6 linked regions of the Bombyx mori genome follow. The protein of the gene in region 3 purifies or fractionates together with the protein of the main gene of each other region. This does not show direct contact. Links are inferred from orthologs where the notes say so. Each region holds a gene or a part of one and is shown on either strand. Other genes may lie near its edges.

Region 1 (4,345 bases), on a different chromosome or scaffold from region 3:
ACCAGGAACGTTTCTGAAATTTTTTTTAATACTTATTTAGACATTCACGACATATCTTTTCCAGTGTCTTTATTTAAAGTATAAACAAACAACACTGTTACAACACACCCACTGTTAAAACCAAATTTCCTAATAAAAATTGTCATCTTACCTGCCAGTACAGGTAAGATGACATTACTTGACATGAGTAAGCTGTACATATCTCTTATCCTTTAGAACATGATGATGGTGTTGCCTTTGTCATGAAATCCACTCCAGAATGTGGGTTAGGGACTTACTTTACTTTATTTACTTTAAGAAGCATTGATAACTGCCTGCAGTATTTTAACAATTTCACCATGCAGATCATTGCAAATACACTGGGTACATTTTCTTATTGGCCACAGGCACTTCAAAGCTTGGTGAAAATCATATACTTTACACTGACAATAAATTTATAATTTAAAAATCTACTTTCAATCTTTTATGGCTTTAGTGCCCAACTAAAAATCTTACTCAGAATCATAGGTAGCTTTATACATATGATTCTGAGTAGATGTACACTGGGGATCCCAAAATATTGGGATACTAATATTGTTTTCTTCTGATAGGACCTCTTGTGAGTCCGCATGGGTAGGTACCACCACCCTGCATATTTTTGCCGTGAAGCAGTAATGCGTTTCTGCTTGAAGGGTAGGGTAGCCGTTGTAACTACTCTGAGACCTTAGAACTTATATCTCAAGGTGGGCGGCGCATTTACGTTGTAGATGTCTATGGCCTCCAGTAACCACTTAACACCAGGTGGGCTGTGAGCTTGTCCACTCGTCTAAGCAATAAATAAAAAAATAAAAATACTTTGACACTTAACATGTTTTCAGTTCATGAGAAAATTATCTAAACAAAAAATTGATTAATCAGCAAAACAGTAATCCCAACTGGTGCAACAGTTCTTCCAATGGGCTCAAGATACATGTCATGGAACTGCCCATGCAACTAAAGCTTCACTGTGGCAGACACTAAGACTCATCATTAATCATGGTCTGCATTGCATAGCATACCCTACCAAGTGATTTTGATAGTCTCTAGACTGTTGGTACAGATACTTTATACAAAAAAGTTTAGGATTTCAATAATTAAAAAAAAACACGTCCAGACTTTTTTACTACTTAACCTGTCCTAAGACTAGTTATTACTATCACAAAGCCATAATCACACCTTTAACTTACATAATACAACCTAGGCAATAAATGATAACATAACTTACTATTGTACTGTTTGAATACAAAGCAGAAGTAAAGTTGTTACACTTGATTGCTATCAAACTTTTTATTTTTTTGTGTATTGGGTACACAGGCACTTAAATTGGAAATCCCATAAATATATTGAACTGTTTGCATATATTTTATAACACACTGAACATTACATATGAGTCGTCTATTATCAAAGGCGGCAATCTGTACATTTGGACAAAAAAAATTTATTGATATGTCAATACAGATTTATTTGAATATAATCGTCTCCTTCAAAGAATACGGTTCAAAACCTGCATTAAATAATGGTTAATAGTTAACCTGTTATTTATCTAAGATGTCGTTCCGAAGAGTTTTGTGACTGCCAATGGAATACAAAGTCAATAATTCGTTTTTCTGATTTACCAATCATTGTCCAAAAGTCAGATTGCCGCCTTTGATAATAGTCGACTCATATGTAACAATTTTGAACTTACTTAAAATGTTTCATATATCCAAGTAGAGAAATTGTTTGCAAAGTTTTTCCTAGACCCATTTCATCAGCCAAAATTCCATTAATACCATTTTCATACAATGATATCATCCAGTTAAGCCCTCTAACTTGATAATCCCGCATTTCTCCATTTTTTATGTAATGTGGAGATGCTTCAAATCTAAATATTGTCTTTTGTTTTGAATTTGTTTCTGCCAGAAGTTCTTCATCTTCTTCTTGCTCAGTTTTTCTATGTCTGTGACTGACACATGAAAAAAAAAGTTTTGAAATCTTATTAATCTATCTTTCAACAGCATTCAGTGGACATAATACTATTTATATTTTTTCACCATACTTGTATAATTTGTCAAGTAGATTTTACATTATTGATACACAGATGTTATAGTTTGTCACAAGTAATACTTTGTAATATTGATACTCACTCTCCAGGACCTTCAGGTTCAGTATCTATTTTTATCTTTCTGGGTCTGCCAGCCTTTGGTTTTGGAGGACTCCCACCAGATTTTGGAGTGTTGGTCATAAAATGAGAAAATATCTCCGTTTGCTTTAGTAGAAAATCGAATCTCTTGGAACGATCAGTTTCAATCTTACTCTCGAAATCACCTTCTTTCCCTCTTGAAGATGTCGTGTCACTTGAAGAGCCATTCTGAATTCATAAAATTGGGTGTGGTAATATTAGTCTGGATTCATTAAATGTTTTAGTTTAAGTAAAATTCAGTTAGTTAGTTTATTAATAAAAAAATTAAACTACTCACGGAATTGTCGCCAATATCGGCAACGTCCATGGCATCATCCGACTGGGCCATTTTTATTTACAGTTAAAACAATATTGAACTAGATGACCAAGATTGCGAAGTTAGAAAATATATTCAAATAAACCAGAAACCAGCAATTGTACACTGGTTGAACAACTTAGTTATAAATTGACTGCATGAAGGCTGAAAACATACGAACATTACAAACTAGATACTTCGAAGATTAAAGTATGTATGAAAACCAAAGAAGAACACTTTCAACTTGTTGGAACTCAATAAATTCTTACATTTTGTAGTACAATGTATACCTATTGACTGAATTGTTTAAATATTGTTCACAATTGAAGATTAATGTAATTACATTACACTACAACCGGGCGCGAAAATCGCAAACTGACAAAAGCAAAAAATTATCACAGAGTGTCACAAACACTATAGCTAATTATTTAGGCAAAGGACACCTTTAAAAGTGTTTGACAGCCTGAATTTTAGTCTTTTAAGCCAAATCTTGATGTGTTCTAAAGGCCAAATCTTTTTTCTAATGGACAAAAAGTATAAATAGACCGGAATGCGATGATGATGAGTTATTGGAAGATGATTATGAACGTAATTAAATGCAACGGAATCGAATAATATGAGGGGAAAATATTTTTTGTTTAAATGTGACAAAAAAAAAACACGTGTAGCACTCGGGGACTGCCACGATAAAGCTATTTGCACAGCATTTTTTATCAACTTATCCAATTATAATTAGACAATAATAATTTAATATTAAAACAATAATAAAATAAGACCACGCTATATTTATAAACATTAACAAAAGCAAAACATTAGGTAACTGTCCCCTTCACACTCATATAAGGGCTACATAGACCGCGCGAGAGAGAGATGGGCAGACTTTTCATGATGCGCATGCAGTGCGACGTCGCGCCGCGCGTTTATTCACAAACACTACACAAGCGCAACGTGTGAATGTTTGAGCTACATCGTAGACTGAGTGAGGGTTGTTAGATTTTATTTTCCTTACGGAATTTCTTAATTCAGTCGCCGCGCTCAAAGTCCACGATAAAAGCTATGCAATAGCTTAATACAAACCAAACAAAAAAATCTAAACACGTTAAATGCAGTCTTAAGTTTGTGAACTTACACGTTAAATGGCTAATAAGCCACAATTAATACACACTTAAATCCAAAGAATATGTAAGTATGTAAATTAAAATTCTAAATAAATTCACACCTCGCGTTCCCGCTTTTTACATTTCCGATCCTGCGGACCAAATGGTAAACAGTCAACGTCGCCCAAAATATGTCATTTCAGATCCTCCCGATCCCCTAACGGCACTTTTAGGTACCCCAAGCACCAGTCATCGTTCTCGTCGATCGGTCGCTTGTGACGAAAGGCTCGGCAAGCGGTTCGTGTTAGCAACAGCTTCAGGTTTAAGCCCCGCGAGCTCACTTAATAGTTCAGTGAATCTAGAATAACCCCTCGAGGTTACTAGAACAGGCAGAAAAAAGGTAATACCAAAGCGTGAGACGTCTTCGCTCTAAGGGGGAAGGGTGCCTTGGTGTAGGAGTGATCCGAGCGCGGAGGCTCTAATCTCAGCGGTCCATGCTGGAGGCACAATCTCGTCGTTTGATGAACCGTCCGCATCGTCGAAGCGGTGCGCCCGGTTCTCACGGACTGTGTGGGCCGCGACCGCGGACGTCTCACCTTTCGGCTGACGCAGATGCTTACCAGCCACTGATGTTCCACGCGCCCCCTAGGCGCGGGGACCTCGTAGAAGGCTAGGCCACAGGCCAGAAAAAAAAAGCGTGAGACGAGAGAGCCTGTGAGTGTGAAGTGTGCACTGAAGTATATAGGTCTATGG
Region 2 (3,700 bases), on a different chromosome or scaffold from region 3:
CAGGTCAGTGCGCTTCCAACCCTCCAATACATCTTTAACATAACTTGCCTTTAACTAAAATTAACAGCGTATATGGATACGCTGCGTTACTTAATGAATAAATAACACCTTTCCTCAAAGAATTTAAGAATCACTACGAAAAACCGTGGTACTATTTGCCAAATTCAAATGATTATTAATGAAATGTTTTTTATGATTAAATTGATTTTTTTTTGTAGTCGTTGGCTCTTTGGAAGATCTGTGTCATAGTGCCTTCAACGCACGACATTGTATCATATTTACCTAAGCAAAGTTTCAGTAGTAATTTATAAAATCGGTTAGTGAGATTTACGTTTACGTCATATAAAATCTAATAAAAGGTAGTCTAGAGTCTAAAGTAGTTTAGAAGTGAGGTCGTGACGCGTGCGTGTGCGTTACAGACGGCAGCCTGCTGTACGAGCGCGTGCTGTCCCGCGGCGAGCTGGAGGCGCGCCGGGCCGAGCCCGCGCCGCCGCTCAAGCGCCGCGCCTACGACGACATCAACGGACTCGACAGTCAGTACCGCCCCGCACTCGATCACTTACCACCCGCATAAAACACGTTGACTGCCGTGTAGGTCATCGGTGCCCTACGCGGCGCATTGAAGTAATTTTTTTTTACAAGCGGCTCGCTCCGGCTCCGCTCTGATCTTTAACAAAAATTTCAACGATATTTGACGTTGTTTTATTCTTAAAAATAAAATAACACTTATTGCGGCATAACTAGTAACTAATAGTTAGACATATGCAGTCGCGACACTTTTTTGTAAATAATAATGTTTTCTACAAAGTCGTAGTACATCAATAGTTTTCGCAGGGCACGCGATGGAACATTTTAGGTAATATTTTTACACCTTGGGTAACATTATTGGAGTTTTAGTAAGGATCCATTTTTTTTCTTTCAAAAAATACTATAGCCTATGTCACTCGGGAATAGTTTAGCTTCCAAACAGTGAAAAAATTTTTCAAATCGATTCAGTAGTTTCGAAGCCTACTCAATACAAACAAACAAATCTTTCCTCTTTATAATATTAGTATAGATTGCCCTTGTAGGCAGACAACCATACGGCCCATCTGATGGTGAGTGGTTACCGTCGCCCATGGAATTCAGCATTGCCAGGGGTGCCTACCGTTAAGTACTCTCTCCACAAGCCTCGTTTGAAGAAGGATATGTCATAGCGCTCGGGAGACACCGTGGAGGGAAGCTCATGGTTTATCGATTATATCGATTTCTCTCTTCGATCACCTTACTAATACACGGAATATATAGTATACTGAAAAAAAAACCGGTAGATACTCAGAATGAATTCTCTATTTCTAAGAGACTTAAAAGACTAAAACATACATTAACAAACAAAAGAACTTAGTAGAACTTAGTAACAGAATTCGATATAATTACTTCAGTGCGCCGCGTAGGGCACCAATGACCTACATGGCAGTCAACGTGTTAACTTATATTCAAACGACCAACGAATTATATCATATAAAAAAAGATTTAATATTTTCGCAAGTTAATTAAGCTTTTAATTAAATAGATAATATTGTATTTAGAACAATGAGTAATAAATGTATAATTTGTTAAATGCTTACCTTTACGGAAACAGCAACAACACCAGGTTAGTAAATGAGAATTATAAAAATAAATAAATGTGGGGAAAAAGTAAATGTTATGAATTTCATAAGTTTATGGAAAATGTAGTGTGAGGTCTTTGGTGTTGTGAGGGTTTGTGTGCGTTGGTCGAGTTGTCCTCCGGAAATCTCGTCACAGTGGTCAATAAAACACTGAGTATGTTTATGTTATTCGCATCAGCGACCGCGTCGGATCGCTGCCCGTTAACCACTGACGTGTATAGCTTATTACTATTACTTTTACTGCATTGTAGGCTTAAGCGGGGCGGAGTATCACTCCCCAACACTAGGAAACAAAACTATCAAAACGTTATGTGACTGCATAGCTAAGGAATCACAATACCCTTGAGCTTTAATTGTTTCGGAAACCATAGGAAAAGTCCTTTCAAAAACCTTCCATTTCGTAAAGTCAAAATCTCAAAAGATCATTCTGGCCCAGAATGTCACATAGGAGATTTCAAATTTGCAACAACGATGTGTGATTTGTTAAATTTATATTTTTTATTTTTTTATTGTCCCTGTAGGCAGCCGAGCATACGGCCCACCTGAATGGTTACCGTCACCCATGGACTTCACCTACCGTTGAATGTTCGTACTGTACCTTCGACAGTTGAATGTTTTCCATTGTTCTTGTTACAATTGTACATATATGTATGATGCGGTTGTCGCAGGAGTGGGCGAGCGGTCGCGCGAGACGCTGGCGCCGCCCGCCAAGCGCCCCAACAAGCACCCGGCGCCCATGCAGCGGCCCTCGCGCGAGCAGTACGCCGCCATGTGCGCGCGCGCGCAGGCCACCGGACAGCCGCTGCCGCCGCACGTCTTCGCGCACGTACGTACCGCTCACTCTCCTCACTCCTACTCATGCGAACCACTGCTCTTGCTAGCCCTAGTATATATTTTATAAGGAATTTTATGACCTGGTAACTAAGACCTTTAAGTCATGTCTTATTTTAATTTATATTCTTAATTTTATTAAAAATGATAATATGGAGTGAAATGAAATGAAATGAAAATGATTAATTTGGGAGATTAATGAACTGGGATGAAATTAAATAAAACGAAATGACAGGGGATGAAATATAATCTCAGTAAAATAGTGGTATTTTACTGAGATTTTTCAGTGGACTTTTTGGAGGATCCCGAGAAGTTACGTCCAGCAGCTTTGTTTCATTTTCCCACATTTGTGCACAGATATCAAACAGTTAATAAACCACCGTTATTACACATTTAAACCTGAAGAAACACTAAATAGACAAAATAAAACAAATCACACAACTTCACTCCTCGCGTTCCCGCCAAAAAGTTCGCTAAGGCTAGTGTTAGCAAGGCCCCTCAGATTGAGCGCCTTGAGCTCACCTGGAGCGTAGCTGGAATAGGCTCTTAAGCTACCAGCGAATAGGTACGAGAAAAATGCACTAATCGACTGAACTTTTTGTACCAGATAGTAACGATTCATCCCAATATACAATTTGTTTTATTATTCGCGAGTTACTAATTTAGCATGCCTAAATTAACGATTTCAATTAATAATTTAGAATATAGAAAAACATATTAGATTTGAATTATGTTGACCTTGTTTTCTAGAAGATTGTCCTGTAACTTATAACAACCGCTTTTAATATTAATAAAAAAAAATTTAATAATAAATAAAAAGATAGATTTGAGTTAATAATAAATGTACGTGTTAGGTAAATGGCAAACCGACAAACATCACAGGACGCGGCGGCCGCCGACACGTGATCTCGTGGATGGACGCTCCCGACGACCTATACTTCAGAGCCACCGATGCGGCCAAGTGAGTGCTTTCTAATGTTTAACCGTTGTACGTGCTCACCGAGCCTATAGGTACCGTGAGAATCGACATTATGTCATATACGACTCTAACAAAAACGAACGTAAAATGCTGCCAAGTAAAGGTATTAGAGGTAAAATAATGGTAATTGAAAGAAATAGAAGCTCTTTTAAGTTTCAGACCTAAAAATCCATCCTCATTTATTTAGTCAAAGTTTCGACTCAATGTTACATGGCAATGTTACATTTTACTAAGAATGTAC
Region 3 (3,185 bases):
AGTAAAGTACGTAGACTTAATAAGGAAGTATAGATCTGAAGGCAGATATTGTGTATAATACTGACGAAACTTATGTCCACACATCCCGAACATAACAATTATTACTTAAAAATATCGGGAATTCATTTCGTATAATACCCTAGTAAATATCCTGTTTTAAGTAATAATTGTTATGGTTGCAGCATCTCTATATTATACAATGTCATTTTGACATTTGAGACTAAACAATAAAGTTCCTTATTAATGGATATGAAAATGTCACTCATTTAATACGATCATTCATTGACAGTTCGGGTGTCATCGTATTCCGATAAAGATCAAGAGTTTTCCCGAAGGAAAATAGTTTCTCACTACATCTATACTTGTATGTTTAATATACTGTTTACTGTCAAATAGTTTGAAAAGTATGAAAAACGGGACAACTTTTTGCATTTAAATATTGAAAATATAAAATTTTGTGGTAATTTCAATTAGAAGTAAAAAATGCTGTTTGTAATATTTCGAAAAAACTCAGATAATTAGCTAGAATAGCAGATCATTAGTTAGTTAAATTTCATAATGATATTTACAAAGCATTTTAATAAATGTCATTTTTTCCAACAAGATTTTAGTGTTTTGTATAACGTTTACATGATAAAAATTCTATAGAACTAAGAACAGTTCCGAAAACTTGTACCCCATTATTGTTCGGTTGTAGCAGAGTTATCTCACAGATTAACGATTAAAAAGTGAATGTTAAACAATGTTGTTATTTCACACTCTCCACAGAGCACATGAGTCGTACAGACAGGACGACTAGCCGTGGTTGACGTTGACGGCCGACTCTAACTCCGACGCCGGCGTCTCCGGCTCCTCGTCGTTGTAGATGTTCTCAGCCATCTGCCACACCTGTACAGATACCGCACCGAATCAATGTACAACAAATACCAAATATATATTTTTTTTCTACCTATTCTAAGAAGCTACCACCAAGTCTGAACCGCGACTGAAAAGATCCGGCGAGAAACTCAGTGAGTCGCAAGCGACGGGTTCGACAAGAACGATGACCGGTGCTTGGGGTACCTAAAAGCACTGTTAGAAGGATCCGAGATGATGTGCCGAAATATTTATCAAATAGCCTAGATTTGTAGTTTTTTTTTTTTTTTTTATGGCATATATATGTGGACGAGCTCTACAAAGTAAATGCGTCACCCACTTTAAGATACAAGTTCTAAGGTCTCAGTATAGTTACAACGGCTGTCCCACCCTTCAAACCGAAACGCATTACTGCTTCACGGCAGAAATAGGCAGGGTGGTGGTGCCTACCCACGTGTACTCACAAGAAGTTCTAACACCAATAAATAATTATGTGCTAGGGAGAAATTATATTTTAGCAAAGCAATTATATTTTATGCATTAAGATCAACTATAATATTAATGTTTTCTGACAGCTTTCTCCCAAAAGGTGCCTATCTAAGCTAAAAACATTCAACCTATAATTTTAGCATACCTGCATAATGTTATCCTCAGAGACGGAACAGATGACCCATGGTTCATTAGGGTTCCATGAGAAGTCAGATATCTTAGCGGTGTGTCCTCCATGTATGAACAATAATTCTGGGGGTCCATCTTCTGCATCTTCAGCTGTCTGTTCCTCGCCAATCTTTGACAAGTCCCATACATGGAGTCTAAAAAAACAAGTAATGAAGTAACTTTCATAATAATTATTGTCTCGTACAGCAATCAGCAAACCCAGTTCTTGAGTATTGTGCATTTTCCCAAATTTAAAGCGTAAAAATTAGATGTACATGTTTACGATTTTTAAAATCAGCCCAAAAAGTGGCTGTAAGCCCACAAGAAGTCTGAGCTTTTATATTTACTTTGCAACTTCAATTCCATATCTGTTTTTTTTATGGGTGTTGATTTTATTTTACCTACCGTTTAATACTATTATTTTGAGAGTTCTTGTCTGTACACAAGATGTAACAAAAAGTTTGAAAATTCAATTATCTGTAATTTTACCTTCGGTCGGTACCACTGCTCGCGAGAATAGTTTCGTTGTGTGGCGACCATTGTACTTGGAATATTTCGTCTTTGTGCGACTCGAACGAGTGTAGCTTTAATTTCAAATTGCGTAGATCCCAAAGCGCAACCTAGACGGAAATTATATTTATAGTTATAGTAGTTAACCTATTATTAAGGATAGGCTATTTATTATTTAGTTTATTATGATATTAAAACTGTAGTTTCATTTTTCAGTGTATCATGAGCTGATTGAATTCAAAGCTTGTGAACACAAGTTTCGTTAAATTACAAAAAATTGATATATAAATATTACAATTAAATAATAAGCAAAACGCTATGGAAGTTTTGACTTGTTAGATGTGTATATTTGAATTAAAATTAGTAACATTACCGTTTTATCCGCACTGCCAGTAGCAAGAATGAACTCTGAATAGGGATTGAAACTGAGGCAGTTAACTTCAGCGGTGTGTGCGTCCACTGTGTGAGATGGTTTCGATGTATTATTACATCTGTAATTACAACATAATTGTGCTCTATTTTACTAATTATTACTACCATATATGCATACCTCATTATTACACTTAAACGAAATGTGTCATTATATCATAAAAAAATAATTAAAGGTAATTATTAACAAGTAATGAAGGTCAATACCAAATACAAGTTATCTGCAGAAATATGTGAAAACAACCTCCTGTTTGTGTTATCATGCCATGATAGGAAAAGCACTTTCATATTCAAACTAATGATTTTATTATCATGATTGTCTTAAATAGGTCTCTTAGTTAATAAGTATTGTACAATTCACAATTACATAATCAGTATGTCTTGATCTTGTCTCATTTATAATGTTTTATATTTACAATTGTAACTTTTCAAATGGTAGGCTGTGGCTGGGCTCTGCCCCACGCGTTGCCGACGTTCGTGAGCGACAGTAACCACTCACCATCAGGTGGGCCGTATGCTCGTCTGCCTACAAGGGGCAATAAAAAAGAACCTCAAAAAGTTAGTTGTTGGTGTTACCTGGTGTCCCATATCATCAGTTTCTGGTCGTCAGCCACGGATCCGAAGAGCGACTCGTGTAGCAAGTGCCACGCGACGTCCTCGACGACGGCCGTGTGGCCGGTGAACACGGACTTCGCTTCGATGACCCGCCCCTCCTTTGGCGTCGCGTTGATGTC
Region 4 (4,345 bases), on a different chromosome or scaffold from region 3:
GCATTTAAGATATAGTTCATGTTCTTTGCACTTCTGTTCCTTAATAAAATTGTCCAACTGATGTCTCTTATCATCACTCAATTCAGCTCTAGTTGTAGGTGCTAATCTCATGTCTAATTTTAAAGTAAAACTAGATAGCATATTATTTTTACTGATTGAACCAACTGTGGCTTGGTCTTTATCCGACTTTTGTTTTGGAACAAAAAAATTGACAAATGCTTCAACAGTCTTTTTCTTTTTGAGTTCTTGTTCTTGTTTTTCTAATTCTAAAGCCTCTTGTTTTTTTCTCTTCTCTTCCTCCTTTGCCTCTTTTTCCTTTCTTTTCTGTTCTTCTTTCTCTTCTTTTTCTTTCCTTTTCTGCTCCTCTTTTTCATCCCTTATTTCTGGAAGTTAATTATATAAATGAATTGCTGTTCGTTAGTCTCGCTAAAACTTGAGAATGGCTGGATCGATTTGGCTAATTTTGATTTTGAATTATTCGTGGAAGTCCAGAGAAGGTTTAAAAGGTGAATAAATATGAAAATGCTCAGAATTATATAAGAACAAACAATTTTGTTTTTCCTTTGATGTGTCCCCCGTGGGACAGATTCTTTTTGTTTGTTTTAAGTTTATTTTATACAAAAGTTTAGGTCTTTTATTTATCAATTGAGGTCTGTCACTACGAAGTCTGCTGGGTCAGCTAGTAATGAATAAAGATATAAATATACCTCATTTTTGTATAAACTTTACTAATGTTCAAAAACGAATAAGTAACTCAAAACATGGACTTTGACCCTTTGATGTGATTTGATAATGTGTCTTAGATTATATTTTATATTTACTTTTTTCAAGCTCTTTTTGTTTTTCTTTCTCTTCCTTTTCTTTTCGCCTCTGTTCCTCTTTTTCCTCCTTTTCCTTTTTTCTCATATCTTCTTTCTCTTGTTTTTGTCTGGCTCTCTCATCTTTCTCTTGCTGTCTTTTTTTCTCCCTTTCCTGTTTTTCTTTCTCTCTCTCTTCTTTCTTTTTGGCAGATTCTAATTTTTTCTGTAACTGTTATGGAAAAAGGATATAATAATGTTCTACACAGTATAAATGCAAGTCTAGATAATTTAAAGGATAAGACCTATGTACAGGTCTATTTGGGTATAACGTAAATTAAGTAAGTAAAAATAAACAAAATTCGCATGATTTTGTTCATTTCCAATTTATAAACATTTATATCACTGTATAACTGGATAATGTTCACTATTATATCTATTGGCCTCTGAAACCACTCAACATCGATTGAACCTTGCACTTGTCTACCCATCTAGAGAAATAAAAATAATATTAAATTATATACAATGATAATTAAATATTACTCTAGATGCAACAATATGTTTGTTAGTGTGTTTTTCTTTCACAACAAACATTTTTATGAGACATTTTCGGGTTTCAGTGACAGACTAAAAATAAATAAAAAATTATATTTCAGCTTTACATGAAATTTAGTCCTAAAGAAAAAACAAATACAATGAGACTATGTGTTGAAACAAATTATTAAGGCAAGCAGCAGAGAAACAGGGTATGGTCATAAGCTAAACTAATAATTATCAAGTAAGACAATTTTTTATCTTAATTGTAGAAGTTTCTCCCTCATCTATGACTCAATACATCAAGCTTATAATGCAGTAACATAATATTAAAAAGATATAAAGGTTTGTTATTTTAATTCAGTTTCAAACTTACTTGTTTAGGTGTTAAATTCTTTCTACCAGACATAGAGTCATTCAAAGATTCATCAGCCTGACTGTTTGTTACTGATGAACTCCTGCTATGTTTTGGTGATGTAGGATCTGAAGAGAGAGATTCATTCAAACTGGATACTGGAGACTTCTTAGCATCGTTACTTTGAGCTATTCTTGTTGCACTCCGGCTGCTCCTTTTTGGTGTTACATTATTCTCTTTTTGAATTTCAGCTGAAGCTTTTTCAGCAATCTTGTCTCTATCATCAGAAGCTTCTTCTAGTTCATCTGAAGATATACTTTCTCTATCTTTTTCATTCCTTTTTTTTAATGGATTCTCTTTTTGTGACTTTTGGTATTCAGCAGACTTTTCAATTTGTTCAATTTTATTAGATTTAGATTCTCTTGGAGATTTCCGGCCATTTGCTTTTGGCTCAATATCAGCTTCTAGTTTCATTTTAGTATCAAATTGATCACTAGAGTCCTCCAATATAACAATTTCGTTATCTGTAACTCTTGAAGTACTGTTACTTAAAATTGTCATGTCTACATTTTTTTCTGGACTATCCACTGGTTCATCAACATTCATTTTATCTTCATCGCTCTTTTCATCTGTGTCATTCTGATCATTTTTGGGTAGGTCTGTTGAATTCTTTTTTTTTATTTGCTTTCTTTTGGCACTGTTCAATTTTTGTTTTTTCTTCCAAGCAACATCAACCAATTTAACGTACGGGTTTACAATTTTGTCATCGCTTAACATTTTTTTCGAGTCTTTACTTTCATCGTCGCTTATTATGACCAGCTCTTGAACATCATTTTCTTTCGATATTTTTCCTATTTTTGTAACTGTTTCGGTATCAGAATTCGAAAGCTTTCTTTTCCTAGTCGGCGGCGACTTGGGTTTAGGGGAAATATCACTTATTAGTTTGAAAGGAAGACGAGCTTGTTTTAGCTTTTTTTTCGATGGAGTCACATCAGTTTCATCGAGGGGTTTGTTTGCTTTCATTTTATAAAGTTTATTAACCAACAAATCACAACATGAACCACTATAATTTGAATTTATTAACAATTTAATAGTTGTACTTATCTTTATAATATTTCAATAGTTTTAATTACACATTCTACTCAACTATGTATTCAACAACACGATGAACTTTTGACAGCTGATGAAATACGCGGGAGTTCTAAACACGTTCTAAAACCTGAATCACAGTTTTATTTTATCATAAACACTATGATGTAAGATCGGAAAGTTTTACTTTGTTATTCCTTAAGTTTGATATCCAAACCATGATTAAACTCTTTTACTCTCAGAGATAAGCTGGTTTTGTTCTGGTGATTTAAGGACGAAGATATAATATTCAATTTCTTAAATTAAGTATTACTTTCTGTTTTAGGTAAATACCTATAGTTTTTTAACGCACTTAGTGATTTTTTATTTTTAAAATTCGTCCGATCCACAGGCAAAGAAGTCATAGTCCATACAGCTAAATCTTTTACAAAAACCCTTACGTCTGTTGTAGGAAAAGTTAAATGCAACGGAATTTAGTGTTGGTCAAGTGCGGAATTCGTTTTATAGGTCAGGAAAGTTAGACATAATAATATGTATTCTGAATGGACCATTAGAGAATAAAAAAATTATAAGCTCGAAGCTCGTGTCTATGAAGTAATCTTTGTTTTTTTATTGCGTAGGTGAGTGGACGAGCTCACAGCCCACTTGGTGTTAAGTGGTTACTAGAGCCCATAGACATCTATAACGTAAATGCGCCACCCACCTAGAGATATAAATTCTAAAGTCTCAGTATAGTTACAACGTTTACCCCACCCTTCAACCGAAACGCATTACTGCTTCACGGCAGAAATAAGCGGGGTGGTGGTACCTACCCGTGCGGACTCACGAAAGGTCCTACCACCAGTAAAAAAGAAATCTCGTATTAAATATGTAGCTCTTTAGCAAAGGGCAAGCTCTGAATATTTCTATTACGGGAGTTCCGAAATTTAAACGTCATGTAAAAGTCAGTGAATAGGTAGGTACTAATTACGAGAAAGTAAAAATGAAAAATTTGAAATGCTCAACTCCGGACGTAATAGCGGAGGTAACGTTTAAAGACTTAGAGGATTAAATACCTAATATATCATTCATAATGATTGATTAATTTTTTTTTTTTTATTAAGAGACTAGCGCCAACTGCTGCCTCCGCGATGGAGTTTCAGGTTTTTTATAATTCATACATCAAAACAATTGAAATAAAAGTAGTAAATAATTGACGTATGATTTATATGATTAATTATTTATGTTTACTTTGATTGGCATCACCGCATAAACAAACTTTCATTAATTTTATAAATCTGGCATATAAACCAGTAAAAGTTTTGCCTGTAGATTGATTGATTTACAGTGTAAGATATGTCTAAGCCAAAGTGGGATTTCAGAGACATCTCTAAAGGGCTTAAAATTTTTCGTGATATCTTGTTAGGTCGAAAACACAATCTTCACGGACGATTTCCTCCTCTTATGTCCCCGAGGTCTGTACCTACGCCAGAAATACCTCGTGGCCCGGATAACCAGTATTCCAAGCAGTATTATTATAAACGAAGCGCAATAAATTCTGTGTTTCCACCAATAGTGGCACCTGTAGCGG
Region 5 (4,438 bases), on a different chromosome or scaffold from region 3:
TATATGGTCTAATCTCATGCTTGTTTATGCATTTGGTGACCACAAAACAGATCCATTAATGTGAAATGTTTTATAAATTTCAAGATTTTAAATTAACAAAATCGATTATAGTAGGTATCTAAGTTTCTCCAGTTGGTAAATTTGCGACTCCTTTTTGGCTAAGATCCATTCTCATGGGAGTTCACATGCCTCAATCGGTCGAGCAGAAATTTTCTTTAATTTTACAAAACTATATCACTAGTACATCATGGATGTAATGTTATGAACTTGATATGTTGAGCATTTAATAAAAAAAATATTATTGGTATCTATCTGTCAAGATTAAACCACTATTACTAATAATTTTTTGTTATTTTGTATTATCAAGATAGTTGGTTACCTAGTGTAATGTACATTGGCAACTATGGCTATGGGAGTCTTCTGTTGTGTGTCGTACACCAACACGGAGCGCCTGGTCCCCACGGCCAGCACGTGCCGGGCTCCGCTCGGGGACGGCAGGCGAGGCGCGGGCCCGGCGGCGCGGGGGCGGAACCCTATCGGCGACCAGCGGGTCACCAGGGCTGGCTCGCCGCATGGTACCACACACACTGGGCTGTAACGGACAGTTATATGAGTGCCTCTCATGCAACATGCTGCAAGTGAAGATGCAACCATGAGCCTTGGTTAAATAAATTTTTGCATTATAGATGAGTGGAAGCTATTAGCTGCTATTATTTATTTAAACTAGATAAAGAAATCTTGAACTGAAAGTCAACTGAGTTCTCCAATTGCAACATATCACATGCCATACAAATAAATCTGATATTTTCTATCAGCAGAATAAAACTGTTGAGCTTGAACATTTTTAAAACAACCTTATCATGCAATTGTGTGCAATTTCAAATCTGGAAACCGTATTGAAAGCAAAAAGTTAGCTTGTCACATCTGAGTCTATGGATTCTGAAAACAATGAATTAAAATACTCACATTTTCAAACAATATCTCGTATAGATATACACGGCATTGATTGGTTTTACATCAGGTTTTCCCTCTGGCTCCACTCTCCCTGCTGGAACTGCAATGTATAGGCCGTCCGGGCTGAACTGCAGTCGTCGGTAATATGTTTGGAGTGTGTCATCATGGTATAGCCGTTGTCTGGAGCCGTGGAGAGGATGGTCAGTGGGGAACGGGAGAGATGCTTTGCTGCTTCTTGATACAACCTTCTTGGTAGATACATCAAATGCTCGAAACACTCTGTTGATATGAACTATTTACATTACATTTTCAAGTCTTTTATAATATTGAATGAATAATCAATTAATCAAATTAGGATTCCCTCTACTATGAGAAACAAAAACTCATATGAACATATTAATATAGATTTAAACACCTAGATGCAAATTGCCCAAAGCAGGCATCAAGCCAACAATCCTGTCTAGCAGTCAAGGGTGCTAACTTTGTTATTCCAATCATCACCTTTTTGATATTTTCATCAGGTATAGAAGCTACTTTTTTACAACTAATTTGATATCATTAATATTTGTAACTACTTATGATGAGATTACTCTGTTAAATTATTGTTTTAAATTATTATTTTCAGCTTACCTGTCTGTACTCGTAGATGTTATGTACTGTCCTTTAGGATCCCAACAGACACCTTGCACAAACCCTTTGTGGTCACTAAGTATAGTAGTGTAACGAGCTCTGTGTATGTCCCAAACAATTAATTTGTTATCTACTGAGCCAGAAGCCAACTGTAAGCCGTCCATACTCCAGGATATGTCAAGGACATCTTCCATGTGCCCTCGAAGAGTCTGTTTTGTGGAATAATTCTTACCATTACTCTTTATAAATTTGAAATAATTATGCTATTCATGTAAACATGACAATTACTGCATATTAATTGTATTTTAATTCTGTTTTTGTTCAGTACTTTTGACTGACTGTAATTAGGTTAGCTTTTTAAAAGATGAAGAATCAGCCACCACATTTCAAAATAGCCACATGTTTAGGTAAAATGTGTACGTTTAAGATATTTGTTACAAAAATACTATTGCAAAATGAAAATCAGGGTTTCTGGGCTTTCTTTGGTTTAATGCATTTTTAATGACATTTTGAAAACAGAATACCTATAAGTTTTTAATAGCAAACCAAGAGTGAAATTTTGTAAAAAAAAAAGAAAGTGTATACTTGGTATTGGTTGGTATGTAACTGAAAAGAGATGAGGCTAAGAACAATTGGGCATTACGTGGAATATGTATAGCCAGATTATATCTAGTAGATAATGAAGAAAATCTCACCTTATAAACAACCCAAGTTTCTTTATATTGCTCCTCACCCTCAGTTGCCGGAGAAAGTTCTTCCAGTTTCTGCTTCCAAATGAATATGATGGACTCATCATCCCCAGAAGCCAATAACTGTCCATTAGGTGACCATCTCACTACATTCACAGCTTTCTGATGCCTTGTTAAATCAGCTGCTACTTCAAGATGAACTGAACCCGTCTCCGTGGTTGATAAATACCAGATCTAGTATTAAAAAAATATAGACTTTATATCCTACTTTAGTATTAAATTCAATTTTTTTTCAATAACATTAGTATAAATAATCGCTGATAAAAATATAAATGATTATTTGTTCGTTCTTATTAAAAGATAGTTTTACCAAAACGTGTGAATCTGTTCCACCGCTGGCGAGTCGTAACGGGTCATTCGGTTCCGCTTTGGGCTGAAAATCTACACTTAGAACTGGATCACGATTATGCCAGGATATTTCTGGTATCGCAAACTTCATTTTTTTCTAATATTTAAAATTTAATAGAAATGGTAAACGAAGTAATAATATAAATTTAAATCCAAATAAGATAAGATGTATTTCAATCAATTTCTACAATAATTGTTAGGAAGCTAGCTTATTTTTACTGTTTATAGTTATTTGGCGCCAAAACAAAAGTGTCAAATTGAAGTTTTACCTAGCGGTAGTCCCATTTTTTCAACTGGAAAAGCGAAGGTATCGTACCGTACACCCCAATATTCTGTAAAATCTGTTTTATGAAAAATTTAATGGAGCAAAATGAAATGAAGTTGATGAATTTTAGATATTATTATTAATCAATTAAAATGAAATTAAAACGAGATTGTACGGGATGAAATATAGTCTAAGTATTTGATTTTTTACTGAGACTTTTTCGTTGAGAGAAGTAACATAAATTGTTTTTAATCTACACGAAACTAGATGAATTGGAATTACACAAAACGAAGTAAGATGATGAAGGTGTTTAAAAGTTAAACGTATAAAGACCTTTCATGTAGGGTATATTTAATTAAATATTCTTATTCACTATGGTTTTTATGTTAATGTCACAATCAGTTTTATAAAGGCTTTTAGATAACTATCTATCTTTTAGGTTTATGGCGTTTCCTTTTAGATTTCGCCAATGTCAAGTGTATTTAATACTCTGCTTTCTATAGCGGGCACCGTGATTTTTTTTTTATGATAAAAAAAATCTTCTCTCCACATTCTGTCACTGTCATCTGTCTTTCTTCCTTTTCTTCTTCAACTGCCTCCAAGTAGACCTTTTCAGTCGTCATAAATTTGTAAGAGTACGCTAATGTCGAATAAAATGTTTTCAGGTTCATCCAAAAGGTCCAGTAAGCTGTCATAAAATTTCTACGATTTCCCTTAGAGGTTATTCTTAGAACTGGCCTTACTATTTGTAACCATCATAAGTTTATTAAAAAAGAATAGTTGTTGCCTAACAACAAGTAGTTAGTTGTGTTGTTTCATGTAAAAATAAAAAGTCAGTATATACATCCGAAGATTATATTTTATTTTTTAACACAATTACCACAGTTATATCATTAGCCTGCCCGCTAATTTTCTCTCTGCTTCTGTTCAGTGGGCTGCGATTCCGATCCGGTGGTAGATACAACAAAGCACCGCTCTTGCTCGGCCCACTGGTAGCAAATCCTTTCAGGTTCGGCTCCGTGAGATTACCTACTAAGCGTGCGTTAAATAACGCATTAGACTATCGCTGCCGACGATTATGTAAATAAAAAAGCCAGTGATGCCATTTAATTTATTATTAAGTGTCACTATAACAAGGCTGGGCTAAGCCAGATCTCGGAAATAAGTTAAATCAATAAAATTTAGTTGATTTAATATTTAACTAAACATTTAAATGTGTTGGACGGTTAAATTTGAGGGGACTTGGGTTATGTAGGTGAGGGGCTATTTAAAAAACACTCTGCTTCATGATTAATATAATTATAATGCAAATACTTTGAACACTGTTACACCATTATAATATTTTATTTTTATAAAACTCCTAGATGTTGCTCTGACCGTGACAATTAACATGGGCTATGCTTACTTTGCCTGTTTAAATCAAACAAAAAAATGTCAAAGTGTCAAGTGTCATTGCTGGATTAAAGTATCTCTCTTTGACGTTTGTTGATAT
Region 6 (4,254 bases), on a different chromosome or scaffold from region 3:
AAAACTTTCCAGAATTTCACTTTAATGACTGGGCACACTTTGCGCATTAATGTGACATAAATTTAGTAGGCCCGAATTTTCGCTAAAACATCGTCGTACACAGTCACCAAGAGTACCAGATACTGAACAAAAACTATCCTCATTTAACGAAGAAACAGAAGAAAGAGATTCATTGGCAGAAAGATAAAGGTCGTCACATGAACTACTCATAAATAATTAATCAATGCAATACAAATACAATGCACAATTTAAATATATACTATTATCTTATAGATAGACTAGCGACCCGCCCTCGCTTCGCTTCGGAAACATTAAAACACCCATGAAACCAAAAAAAATAAATAAAAAATAAATAAAAAAAAGTAGCCTATGATCATCAGGGACAATGTCGGCTTCTAATGGAAAAAGAATTTTTCAAATCGGTCCAGTAGTTTCGGAGCCTATTCGAAACAAACAAACAAACAAATCTTTCCTCTTTATAATATTAAAGTAAAAGTATAAGTATAGAAAACAAATTTTATAAAAGTTATTGATAACTTAAAGTAAATGCAATGAGTTCAAAAACAAAAAAACAAAAAGATGATTTCTCTGCACCACCCGCCAGCCAATACACAGTGTATACATAATAAAATAAAAAAAATTAAAATAAAAATACAGACTATTTTCAGCACACAAAATCAAACCAAAAAATTAAAACAAATTATAATAAAAAAAATCCTAAAATCAAAAAAGGGGGGCCAAATTTACAGAGCCGCATAAGACAGTTCTCTTTCTATGCTGCCAACTCTATGGTGCTCCCATGGAGTTAATAAGTACCTACAAGGTGCTCCAAATTTTTTGACACGAAACTTTTGACATTAGTGTACTGTATTACCAAGATTAGGGAAATGAGAACGGGACTGCCGGCTCTATACAGACCGCTGCAAAAATTTCATAGGTCTGATTATTGTTTTCTTGGTGTTTTATCTGTTGTTTATTTACTTATCAATCAGTAAATGCGTTACGTAATGTAATGTGAATGGAAGCAGTGTGTTAAATATAAAAACTACAAAATTTTGTGGTTTATGATTATCTTGTACCTTACTGATACCACGAGTACGCTATTAATTTTAAGCATTTGACTTTTCTCTTTTCAGTCTCGGTTTCCTATGATTTCTTTCGAAATGTTGTTTAATTTTTTTAGCGTATCACATCCCCGCTCGATGTCCGTGGCTATAGTCCCTTTGCTTAAACAACTTAAATGATTGCTACTAGTCGTCCTATAAATGTGCAACACAAGCTTGAGAGACTTCGATTGCGAAAGAAAATATGCTTTTTAAATTTTATTTGAACATTACATTTTCCGGTGGCTGTAAATAAATCAAAAGAGCAAATTACATAATTTAGGGAGAGAAATTACAATTTGTGCCCTAATTTAAAATTTTTAGTCTCCGTTGCAAATGTATGGTAACATTGCAGTTTTTTATTTTTCTTCTTTCAAACTTCAAGTGTAAAAGAGATAGTGAGTGTTGCTGGCTCGTCGAGAAGTGACGGCGGCATCAATTTCTGAATTAATTACCATTTGTCGCAAAAACTGCGCGTCCTTTATCTTTTCTAGCCAAAAATCTATCATCTTATTCCAAGTTGTGTTTGATAGTAATCTAAATGGCATCAGATGAGGAAGTGGACGGCTCTTTTGCAGGTAATGGTTTAGTTTAGCTAGCATGTCATAGGTAAGCCGCGAATAGCGGTATCATGTGTTTACTTGCGGTGCAATTAAAAATTTAATTTTTTTATTTTGAACTTGACGATTCCCTAAGAATGGTCTTCTTTCCGGTTAATATTGGAACGAAGAAACCATTGGTTGTCATCGGAATGACCTAATTGTTGTGATGCGATTGTAAATATTTTTGAGTGGCAGTTTGTGACAGAAAAGAACATGCGATATCCCCTCATTACTACTTAACAAAATGGACGCCGCCAAACAAAGGGATTAGTGACCTTAGCGCGAGGTGTGTGAAAATGTGGTTAGATACAAGATAAACAGTGTTCACCCAGACATTGGCAGGTGTGTTTGATGTTAAGACTGGTTTGACCACTGTTGTTGTCTTGCAGGTGATGAGGAAGTAGAGGAAGGTGAGGGTCAAAATGACAATTCCGGAGATAGTGACGAGGCTCCACCAAAGGTAACACTTTCCTAACAAAATTTTAGTGAAATAGAAAAGTTTTATTTCATACTTGTATACTTTGCCCTCATCTTATTTATGATCATCATTTTCATCATAATAAACCAAGAGCTCTACCCATAATTCCAACTTGAAATGGGTTACCATATTTGAAATGAGTTACCATATTTGAAATGAGTTAGTGTCATCATGCTGTTTATACTTTATATGTTCTAACTATATGTTCAGGCTTGCAGGCTAGACAAGCCGTTAATTTGTAATGGATACTTAACATGTTAAGGTTTGGTGTTAGTAAGGACTGGTAAACTCTAAACTATGAGGACTCAGAACATTTTTGTTCTAAAATTTCAACCTTAAAAAGGCCAATTTTCACGACATGTATAACATGTCTTTTAATAGAATTTAATTTAATGTAAACACATTTTATTATTCAACCAAACAAAAAATAAAAAATAAAACACTTTCAGAAAAATATCAATAACATATGACTGCCAGTATCAATTTTTTGCAGGTTGTGAGTTGGTTAAAAAATTTAACAGTTAACTGTGGTGAATAGTGGATTGCTTTATTGTACTGTAAAAATAGACTGCTCATACCATTTACTAATACTATTTATGTATGTATGTATCACATCATTCAATCAATCCCACACTACTCAAAATAACAGGTATCAATGACTTAGATTGGCTAATGAATGTAATGTTTTTTCAACATCAAGGCATTAGTCTATTACTGTATGAGCTTTTAGAGCATTTCCCTACATATTCCTGTATTTCAAGTTTAAAAATAATAGTAAAAAAAATATCATGTAATTAGTTATGTCAATCTGGCTGATAATTATTTTTAAGTATCAGATCCCAGATTTTGAGCTGAAAATACTTATGGCTTATTTTCAGATACCCTAGTGTGTAATGTATTTTCGAGAATAATTATCATATAATTAAATAATTTATAAAATATATTTATAAACTTCATAAATCATTTAAATGAAAATTAGCAAACTATCAAAATCAATCCAGTTACCCAAAGTAGAAAGGGAATAAATGACCAATAATTATTCAATAAATATGAGCATTTCTTAATATAACACACAAAAATTCAAACTATAGGAAGATGAAGATTATTCCCCTGAAGATGGTAGAAAAAAGAAAAAGGGAAAGAAAAGGAAAGCCAGAGGAGAAGAAAAAAAGGGAAGAAAGAAAAAGAAGAAGCGAAAGAATGAAAGTGAAGATGTAAGTTCACAATGTATTTTATCATAGAATCATGTACCTACATTCTAAACGCAGAAGTAAATTTTTTATTAACTGTATTGTTGAAAAATTGTATGTTGCTACTCATTTCTAGATTTCTAGAGCTTATCTTAATTTTTTTTTAATATTTGAATAGTAGAGTAAAAAAAAGGCATGTATGCTTTACATTAACTTAATTAGTAATTACCATCAAATGAGACCGCCAAGTATCAAGTATATAAAATAGTTATGTTAATATTTGAATATTTGAAGATTTATTATTTATGATAATCTTATTGTCTATCAGTCTTATTGTCTAACGGTAGGCAGCGGCTTGGCTCTGCCACTGCCATTGCTGACGTCCATGAACGACGGTAACCACTCACCATCAGGTGGGCCTTATATGCTCGTCTGCCTATACGGCAGTAAAAAAAGACAATTTTTTTAAAATTTTCGATGGAACAGGATGATGATTTTGGCCTCGAGATGGAAGCAGAAGGTGACAGTGATTATGCACTGAGCGCTGTCTCTTCAAGCAAGAAATCCCGTAAAGGTCGAAGTAGCAAACACAACACACCATCCACAACTACAGCATCAGACTCTGGCTCTGGTATGTGTATGTTTTTTATTAAACATTTTTTTTATCTCTTGAATATGGAATTCCAAGTACCTACTAACTTGCATGAGTGTTAAATCCCTTACATGCACATAGAAATAGATAATGGACTTTAGCTAAACTCAAAATAATAAAAATGAGGTAGATTTCAGTGAATATCATCATCATCATCATCATCATCATCATTCTTTCCTATTATCCTCTGCTGGGGTGTAGGGCTTGAATCAAAGCCTTCCATGTACAT

What was found.
Region 1: the proteins of chromatin assembly factor 1 p55 subunit (region 3) and chromatin-remodeling complex ATPase chain Iswi purify together in Drosophila melanogaster (affinity purification with western blotting; 5 studies listed by BioGRID, with this or other methods). This does not show direct contact. The link is inferred for Bombyx mori from reciprocal best matches to the Drosophila melanogaster genes Caf1-55 and Iswi.
Region 2: the proteins of chromatin assembly factor 1 p55 subunit (region 3) and metastasis-associated protein MTA3 purify together in Drosophila melanogaster (affinity purification with western blotting; 4 studies listed by BioGRID, with this or other methods). This does not show direct contact. The link is inferred for Bombyx mori from reciprocal best matches to the Drosophila melanogaster genes Caf1-55 and MTA1-like.
Region 4: the proteins of chromatin assembly factor 1 p55 subunit (region 3) and chromatin assembly factor 1 subunit A purify together in Drosophila melanogaster (affinity purification with western blotting; 3 studies listed by BioGRID, with this or other methods). This does not show direct contact. The link is inferred for Bombyx mori from reciprocal best matches to the Drosophila melanogaster genes Caf1-55 and Caf1-180.
Region 5: the proteins of chromatin assembly factor 1 p55 subunit (region 3) and chromatin assembly factor 1 subunit B purify together in Drosophila melanogaster (affinity purification with western blotting; 3 studies listed by BioGRID, with this or other methods). This does not show direct contact. The link is inferred for Bombyx mori from reciprocal best matches to the Drosophila melanogaster genes Caf1-55 and Caf1-105.
Region 6: the proteins of chromatin assembly factor 1 p55 subunit (region 3) and chromodomain-helicase-DNA-binding protein Mi-2 homolog purify together in Drosophila melanogaster (affinity purification with western blotting; 4 studies listed by BioGRID, with this or other methods). This does not show direct contact. The link is inferred for Bombyx mori from reciprocal best matches to the Drosophila melanogaster genes Caf1-55 and Mi-2.

Annotation. Positions count from the first base shown.
Region 1 is NC_085119.1:7,657,775-7,662,119, reverse strand, and holds the start of chromatin-remodeling complex ATPase chain Iswi, read right to left. Parts: upstream 2,961-4,345; 5' UTR 2,765-2,960; intron 2,661-2,764; 5' UTR 2,529-2,660; coding exon 2,478-2,528; intron 2,369-2,477; coding exon 2,145-2,368; intron 1,964-2,144; coding exon 1,706-1,963; intron 14-1,705; coding exon 1-13.
Region 2 is NC_085131.1:3,871,204-3,874,903, forward strand, and holds part of metastasis-associated protein MTA3, read left to right. Parts: coding exon 1-3; intron 4-419; coding exon 420-533; intron 534-2,317; coding exon 2,318-2,475; intron 2,476-3,334; coding exon 3,335-3,441; intron 3,442-3,700.
Region 3 is NC_085109.1:4,082,580-4,085,764, reverse strand, and holds part of chromatin assembly factor 1 p55 subunit, read right to left. Parts: coding exon 3,028-3,185; intron 2,514-3,027; coding exon 2,396-2,513; intron 2,133-2,395; coding exon 2,002-2,132; intron 1,668-2,001; coding exon 1,490-1,667; intron 889-1,489; coding exon 796-888; 3' UTR 1-795. UniProt on the Drosophila melanogaster protein: Core histone-binding subunit that may target chromatin assembly factors, chromatin remodeling factors and histone deacetylases to their histone substrates in a manner that is regulated by nucleosomal DNA.
Region 4 is NC_085127.1:6,282,022-6,286,366, forward strand, and holds the start of chromatin assembly factor 1 subunit A, read right to left. Parts: upstream 2,908-4,345; 5' UTR 2,710-2,907; coding exon 1,708-2,709; intron 1,030-1,707; coding exon 822-1,029; intron 384-821; coding exon 1-383. Other genes in the region: uncharacterized protein LOC101735561, read left to right, coding at 3,772-3,799, 4,331-4,345.
Region 5 is NC_085118.1:947,983-952,420, reverse strand, and holds the start of chromatin assembly factor 1 subunit B, read right to left. Parts: upstream 2,945-4,438; 5' UTR 2,773-2,944; coding exon 2,644-2,772; intron 2,508-2,643; coding exon 2,280-2,507; intron 1,794-2,279; coding exon 1,585-1,793; intron 1,234-1,584; coding exon 967-1,233; intron 593-966; coding exon 380-592; intron 1-379.
Region 6 is NC_085116.1:13,711,111-13,715,364, reverse strand, and holds the start of chromodomain-helicase-DNA-binding protein Mi-2 homolog, read left to right. Parts: upstream 1-1,266; 5' UTR 1,267-1,644; coding exon 1,645-1,681; intron 1,682-2,094; coding exon 2,095-2,165; intron 2,166-3,274; coding exon 3,275-3,397; intron 3,398-3,859; coding exon 3,860-4,004; intron 4,005-4,254. UniProt on the Drosophila melanogaster protein: ATP-dependent chromatin-remodeling factor which acts in nucleosome-remodeling by catalyzing ATP-dependent nucleosome mobilization. Involved in regulating transcription. Plays a vital role in development.